2 linked regions of the Macaca mulatta genome follow. Each later gene encodes a partner of the first gene's protein in a complex. Links are inferred from orthologs where the notes say so. Each region holds a gene or a part of one and is shown in the gene's direction. Other genes may lie near its edges.

What was found. Proteins that work in one complex are often made in the same cells at the same time.
Region 2: GATB (region 1) and GATC share a complex: the UniProt entries of both Homo sapiens proteins name them as parts of the heterotrimeric GatCAB amidotransferase (AdT) complex. The link is inferred for Macaca mulatta from reciprocal best matches to the Homo sapiens genes GATB and GATC.

What each region holds. Positions count from the first base shown.
Region 1 is NC_133410.1:160,355,175-160,359,111, reverse strand, and holds the start of GATB (glutamyl-tRNA(Gln) amidotransferase subunit B, mitochondrial), read left to right. Parts: upstream 1-1,137; 5' UTR 1,138-1,162; coding exon 1,163-1,338; intron 1,339-3,269; coding exon 3,270-3,420; intron 3,421-3,937. UniProt on the Homo sapiens protein: Allows the formation of correctly charged Gln-tRNA(Gln) through the transamidation of misacylated Glu-tRNA(Gln) in the mitochondria. The reaction takes place in the presence of glutamine and ATP through an activated gamma-phospho-Glu-tRNA(Gln).
Region 2 is NC_133416.1:127,756,479-127,760,492, forward strand, and holds the start of GATC (glutamyl-tRNA(Gln) amidotransferase subunit C, mitochondrial), read left to right. Parts: upstream 1-1,214; 5' UTR 1,215-1,251; coding exon 1,252-1,332; intron 1,333-1,427; coding exon 1,428-1,600; intron 1,601-2,712; exon of another isoform or gene 2,713-2,881; intron 2,882-4,014. Other genes in the region: TRIAP1 (TP53-regulated inhibitor of apoptosis 1), read right to left, coding at 997-1,143. UniProt on the Homo sapiens protein: Allows the formation of correctly charged Gln-tRNA(Gln) through the transamidation of misacylated Glu-tRNA(Gln) in the mitochondria. The reaction takes place in the presence of glutamine and ATP through an activated gamma-phospho-Glu-tRNA(Gln).

The sequences.
Region 1 (3,937 bases):
GAGTCCTTCAATTTTACTTCCCATATCTATCTCAAATAGATCCATTTCTCTTTGCCTCTGCCGCCATCCTAATTAATCATCTCTCCCCTAAACAATTACTGCTCCAAAGGGCATCCACTCCATCCTTTGTCAAATGCATTCTCCACACTGCCCTACTTTATTCAACAAATATTTTTGAGGAACCTACTTTGTACTGTAGTGAGTAAGACAGACAAGGAATTTGTGGAAATAGAAGATAAGCATCAGGTAGTCAAAAGCACTATGAGGACAATCAAAGCAGGATGATGAAATAGAGAGTGCCTAAATGACTACTCTAGACTGTGTTCAAATACAAAAAATCGGTGGCAGTTTTAACAAGGGGTATTAGTTTTGATGCAGAAAAATGAAGGAAGTCCTCTGGGACGATGGTATCTGCTCCTAGCATACAATGAGTGTGTTTCTGATACTGGCCAATGATAAAAAGGAGGTTAAAATGTACACAAACATTCAATCTAGGGCTGTTTCTCTCTAAATACCTCTGCTCAAACATAGCACTTACTACCTATATGGAAGTATCTTATTTTTGTTAACTTCTGTATGTCTCCCTTCTTTAGAATGTAAGCTCCATTAACATGGGGGCCTTAACTGTCTTGATCTCTGCAGTAACTACAGTGCCTAGGAACTGAGCCTGGCGTTACGGTAGGCATGCAAATAAGTATTTGTTGCATTAACGCACAAATTGCTGAGCAAAGTAGAGGAGTAGACACAGAATATAACGGAGTAGGTTTGGGGGCTCAGGAAGTCTTTGCTGAGATGTCAAGGTCATTTACTTCCCCTTGCAAGGTTAACTGGGTTATAAAATCCCGGCAACGCTTCTTAGCTCCAAGCACCAAGTGCTCACACTCAAACTCATATATACACGCTCAGAGCCACAAGCCTCTCCAACTCCCCGCTAGGAGGAGTCACACCTCCCCACCCTGAAACCCTCCCACCCTCTCCTCTATTTCTCCTTCCCTCCCCTCTCCGCCGGGTTCCGGTAGGCTTCGAATCACCACGCTCGCCGGGAGTAGTAGTCTTCCGGTCCGAGCCTATAGCGTTTTTAATACAGTTCCAGAACTACGCTTCCCAGGGAGCCTCGCGGCACAGTGTGACTGAGTCACCTGACCAAGACCCTGGCGTTACAATGGCGGCGCCCATGCTGCGCTGGGTCGGCCGTGGAAGACTTTGGACTTTCGCCCGGGTTGACGGCGGTTCTTGCCACCGAAGAGAGGCTCCGACTGGGTCCACATCCAACTGGATTAGGGGACAGAGCTCAGTGGCTCAGCAGCCCCTCTGCATGACCCAGAAGCCGAGGAAAGGGTATTCTGTTTCATACCATTTCTGCCCACCTAACTGAGGTGGAACTGCAGGACTGGGGAAAGGATGGCAATTACAGCCCAGCTTCTAGACGTTTTGGCTGAGGGGAGGGCGTTGAGTTATAACCTGGAGCCCCGAAACCTAAATAAAAGCACAAAACAGGCCCTCTATCAGCTCCGCCCCCATATATAAACCACTATTTTCAAATAGACGTAGTTGGGGAATTCGCGAGTGTAAAATAGCAAGTATTTTCTTGAAGGCTGCACAGACAGAAGAGTGGATTCGGTCATCTTACTAATAGCACTGGCAGTGGGGACGGTGACAGGAGAAGCGGGATCATATTTAGCTGATTTTATTTAGCGCTAGTATGGGCCGGCAGTGTTCTAAAGGGAGAAAGGGAGCCTTTACCTACAAGCTCTGGAAGTGGTGGGTTATTGTCATTAGTCAGAAAACACTAGCTAGCTGTGCAGGCGTTTTATGTTGAATATGTGTGTTTAGACCTAGGAGGACGCAGCCAAAAGAAGAGGTACTCCCTCGGGTTATATAGAGAGTTTTGCTTATTTGGCCAGATTATCCCCTGAACAGCTGTTTATGCTTCATTATGTAAGAATTAAATAGTTTCTCTTTAAATACAGAAACATATGGCAAGTTTCTAATATTTTGTTTATTCTTTGAGACTGGTTGGCATTATTTTTACTTTCAGTTGGAGAAACAGAGGGAAATTGTCCTGAAAGAAGTATTCAGTTTTGTATTCTTTTCGTGAATTAGATTGTTTCCCTGTGAATGGAAAGAACATTTTTTCTCTCATGTAATGGAACTGCAAAAATACTTTGAATGATGCTTTACTGCATGCAGAATTTCTAACGAGTTCTTTCTTTAATTCACCTCCCTTGTGGGCTGTGTTTCCAAACTTTAAAAAGAAGGACTTATTCTTACAGTACTTCAGATATAGACGTTTATGTGCTGAAATTATTGAAACAAAACAAAATGATGTAAAATCTGTATATATATGTATATATATACACACACACACATATATATATACACATATACACACAAAATTGCTTGGGAGAAGAGCAGGATAGGAACATACATGGATTTCACAGGGAATAAGCACATTTATAAGGACCTGGAGAGGCCTATGTACAGACTCAACAGAGTAGGACTGGCCGGATAAGAGGGATTATTATAGCATTTAATAGCTTCTTAGATTTCATAGCAAATAAGCATGAACAAAGTAACCTGAAATTAGGTCTCAGGAATTGCAAGTGATATGGGGGACCAAAAATATGCCACATCAGATGGTTTAATATGATGGGGTTTAGCAAAATTTTTTCAAGAGTATCATTTAGTGGTGATTTATTATATCTGTGTCTCTCTGGTTATTATACTTGCAAACCGTTTTTGTGAAAGGAATTCAAAACATGGTTGCAAATTTCCTTTTTAAATAAGAAATGTGGAACTATTTATCATTATTTCTCTAGTAGTAGAATCTTGCCATTTATGTTAATTCTAAATAATGTGGGAAAGATCAGCTTTCTTCATTTACTGAGTGATTAATTGATAAGGTACAGTTAATTTGTTAAATGCTGCTTTTCACTGAAGTTAGCCAAGCAGTTGTCACCTGATACCCATTTCTACATTGTTTTAAGACACCAAATTGTTCCTTTCTCTATTGCCTTCGTGTTTATATCATCAGCCTCCCGATGCCATGTTGTAAATGAATTTTAGTTTGCCAATCTCAGTGTAGGCGCTTATTCTAAATTGGTTTTTATTTAGTCACTGATAAAATATGACATTTTTAATGTAAGGATATAACACTGTAATAAGTTTAAAACACATATAGGAAATTAACATTTGTGGTTTAGACTTACAGAAATTCATTCATGGTGACAAACATAATTACATCTTAACCATTATCTCTTTCTTCTTAGTGAACACAAATGGGCTGCTGTGGTAGGTTTGGAAATTCATGCCCAGATTTCCTCCAACTCTAAACTCTTCTCTGGATCTCAAGTTCGCTTTTCAGCACCTCCAAATTCTTTGGTTTCTTTTTTTGATGCATCTCTACCTGGAACTTTGCCGGTAAGATTTTTATTTAATCCTATTTTCATTAGAAAAATGTTTATTTTATATTGAACATGGAAAATTATTTTCTTATTTTAATAATAACACAACTGTTTGGAAATACTTCTTTAGGGAATTTTGGGTGAAGTGGGATGTATTAAATGTTTTCTAAAGACCCATCTCTGTGATGCTGTTTCTAAGTCTAAACATATTCATACACGTATTTATCACTTCACAAACATTTTAGCATGCCTACTAATATCAGATACTGTGCTATGAGCTGGGTCATAAAGATGAGCCTTGCCTTTAAGGAGTTCAAAAACTAGTAGGGGAGATGTGTCTTATAAACAAATAGAGGGCAATGTGATTCCTTCTTTGAAGGTAATATGCAGAGGATGGTTTTGAAACCCAGAAAACGGACAACTAATTCAGTAAATGAAAGGACTATTGTGAGAAATTGAGGTAGGGGTACCTTTGGTTATGGAAGTGTTACTAAAGAGGTGGTGGCCTGAGCTATTTGAGTAGCCCAGTAGAA
Region 2 (4,014 bases), on another chromosome or scaffold:
CAACCTGGCCAACATGGCGAAACCCTGTTTATACTAAAAATACAAAAATTAGCTGGGCATGGGGGTGCATGCCTGTAATTCCAGCTACTCCGGTGGCTGAGGCATGAGAATAGCTTGAACCTGGGAGGCGGAGGTTGCCAGTGAGCTGAGATTGTGCCATTGCACTCCAGCCTGGGAGACAGGGAGACTCTGCCTCAAAAATAAAAACCAAAAGTACCATAATGAATAAATCAAGTGTAAGACCTGAGGGAGACTGGAAAAGGAGTTGTGAGGGAACCATTAAAATTAAGTGAAATTTGAAAAATAATCATCACTTTGTGTTGGTGAAAGACTTACTGGCTATGTGACCAACTAAATGGGATGAAGACAGCAACTACCTCGGGGAACTGCTGTGAGGATGTGTTGGGTTAACTTATTGGAAGTGCTTTGCCCAGTGCTGTTCTAACAATTCAAAGCAGTTCCACATCCATTGGGCCAGAATAAACATTTCCTAGTTGCAGTTGCGGGGACTGGTCAAGAGAGATAAACAGGCTAACGAAGGGTTTATAACATCAAAATAATGTGATCCTCCAGTCTGAAGTATAACCCCGCCCAGACCTCAGCTGTAATAGTGGAAAAGTGCACCACCTGCGAAAGAATCAAGGCAACCTGGTGCTAGTGAACTCGGATCAATCACTTCCTATTTCTGGGTGTTAGTTTTTTATGTATAAAATATGAGTAACTATACCCACCTTGCGAGTTTAGGATGAACACCAAATGAACCAAAAGATGTGACTGTGTGTCTTAAAAACAAAAGCACTGCACCAATATTTGTCATTCGGGGAGACACCCAAACGGCCTCGGTGGTGATGATAGGGGAGCGAGCTCCTGCCACTGACCTCACTGCGGCTTTTCTCCACCCTTCCAGTCCAGTCCCAACCCCCATAAAACACGACGAGTGTAGTGGGACACAGCGCGGAGAATGCGGGGCCTGGAAACAGAGGCGGAAGGGCTCACCTGAACACACTGCTGGTAGCGCTTGAAGAGGTCGGTGCACGGGTCCCCGGAGCTGTCCCCCTTGAGAAACTTCTCGGCGAACCAGCGATTGAAGCACTGGTCGTATTCGCGCTTCATGTCCGTGCATGCCTCCCCCACACTGTTCATGGCGACAGTGGTGTCGGCGGCGGCGGCAGCGCACTCTGATGTCATCACTCTTAGGCGCGTCGCTCGGCGTTACGCGCGGGCGCACTACGGGGGCCAAGGAAGGAAGAAATGTGGTCGCGGTTGGTGTGGCTGGGCCTTCGGGCCCCTCTGGGCGGGCGCCAGGGCTTCACGTCCAAGGCGGATCCTCAGGTAAAGGCCAGGGCCATCTAGGCGGGTGGCGGAGCAAGCCGGGAGGCACACCGGGGCGCCGGTGAACCACACTCCGTGCCTCATTCCTCCTCCAGGGCAGTGGCCGGATCACGGCCCAGGTGATCGAGCACCTGGAGCGTCTAGCGCTTGTGGACTTCGGCAGCTGCGAGGCAGTGGCGCGACTGGAGAAAGCTATCGCCTTCGCCGACCGGCTACGTGCGGTGGACACTGACGGGGTGGAGCCCATGGAGTCGGTCCTGGAGGACAGGTAAACTCGAGGCTGCAGCCCCGAAGCCTTGAGCGTGGCCCGTTCGCAGCCGTTTAATGTGACGATTAGCGAACAATTTTCCAGGGGGTTAAAGAGCGTTAGCGAGATTCAGGAACTTGCCCACGGTCACCTCGCGAGTCAGTGGCTTCACTCTTCCCCTTGTTCATTACGGATGCTCTCGCTCGTGTCGTCCTAGTGTAAGTAGAAACAAAACCCAAACTGCTCATCATCGCCTTTGTGTTTTTTTTCTTGAGACGGAGTCCAGACTGGAGTGCAGTGGCGCGATCTCGTCTCACTGCAAGCTCCGCTCCCGTGTTCAAACAATTATCTTCCTCAGCCTCCCGAGTAGCTGGGATTACAGGCGCCTGACACCACGCCCGGCTAATTTTTTTTTGTATTTTTAGTAGAGACGGGGACGGGGTGTCACCGTCTTGGCCAGGCTGGTCTTGAACTCCTGACCTCGTGATCCGCCCGTCTCGGCCTCCCAAAGTGCTGGGATTATAGGCGTGAGCTACCGCGCCTGGCCTAATTATCGCCTTTGAGCCCCTACTCCATAGAGTCCCTGCCTGCTCACTCAGACATACTCTTCTCAGTACCCTCCTTGGCTACCTTGACTGCGTCTCCAGCAAGACAAGTTCTTTCCCTCTCTAGATCTTTGCACTGACCCTTCGTTTTTTCCTGCCTCTCAGTATTTGCATGGCTGCCTCCCTCTTGGCACAGGTCTCAGCTTATCTTCTGGGAAAGGGCTTTCCTAACCACTGCAAATCCCTTCTCCCCTTCTGGTTAGTAACACATCCTATTGGGTTTTTTCCTCTAACATTTTAATGGACTTTTGTTCATTTGTTATATCTCTTTTATTAAAATGTGAGCACTTTATGAGATTTGGTTCCGGTTGCATTCCTGCCTCGAATTTTTATTTTTATTTTTATTTTTTTATTTTTTTGAGACGGAGTCTCGCTCTGTCACCCAGGCTGGAGTGCGGTGGCTGGATCTCTGCTCACTGCAAGCTCCGCCTCCCGGGTTTACGCCATTCTCCTGGCTCAGCCTCCCGAGTAGCTGGGACTACAGGCGCTCGCCACCTCGCCCGGCTAGTTTTTTGTACTTTTTAGTAGAGACGGGGTTTCACCGTGTTAGCCAGGATGGTCTCGATCTCCTGACCTCGTGATCCGCCCGTCTCGGCCTCCCAAAGTGCTGGGATTACAGGCTTGAGCCACCGCGCCTGGCCTTTTATTTTTATTTTTTGAGATGGAGTCTCACTCTTATCACCCAGGTTAGAGTGCAGTGGCATGATCTCAGCTCACTGCAACCTCCACCTCCCAGGCTCAAGAGATCCTCCTACCTCAGCCTCCAAGTATAGGACCACAGGCTCATGCCACCAGGCCTGGCTAATTTTTTTTTTTTTTTTTTTTTTTTTGAGATGGAGTCTCGCTCTGTCGCCCAGGCTGGAGTGCAGTGGCCGGATCTCAGCTCACTGCAAGCTCCGCCTCCCGGGTTCATGCCATTCTCCTGCCTCAGCCTCCCCAGTAGCTGGGACTACAGGCACCCGCCACCTCGCCCGGCTAGTTTTTTTTTTGTGCTTTTTAGTAGAGATGGGGTTTCACCGTGTTTGCCAGGATGGTCTCGATTTCCTGACCTCATGATCCGCCCATCTCAGCCTCCCAAAGTGCTGGGATTACAGGCTTGAGCCACCGGGCCCGGCCGCTAATTTTTTATATTTTTTATAGAGACAGGATTTTGCCATGTTCTCCAGGCTTGACTCTTGAGCAAAGGTGATCCACCCACCTCAGCCTCCTAAAGTACTGGGATTACAGGCATGAGCCACAGCGCCTGGCCCAGTGTTTGATTCTTTCAAATCTCTTCTCTACTTTGCAATTTTCTTTTTCCTTTTGGATGGGGTCTCACTATATTGCCCAGGCTGGTCACAAACTTCTAGACTCAAGAGATCCTCCTGCCTCAGCCTCCCAAATAGCTGGGACTGTAGGTGTGCACCACCACACCTGGCTAATTCTTAAATTTTTGTAGAAACAGGGTCTTGCTATGTTGCCCCGTCTGGTGTCAAACTCCTGGTCTCAAGCAATTCTCCTGCCTCAGCCTCCCACTTCCTAAAGAAAGTCTAACTTTTTTTTCTTTTTTTTTTTGAGATGGAGTCCTGCCCTCTGCCCCATTGCCCATGCTGGAGTACAGTGGCACGATCTCGGCTTACTGCAACCTTCACCCTCCAGGTTCAAGTGATTTCTGTGCCTCAGCCTCCGGAGTAGCTGGGATTATAGGCATCCGCCACCACACTCAGCTAATTTTTGTATTTTTAGTAGAGGTGGGGTTTCACCATGTTGATCAGGCTGTTCTCGAACCCCTGGCCTCAAGTGATCTGCCCATCTTAGCCTCCCAAAATGCTGGGATTACAGGCGTGAGCC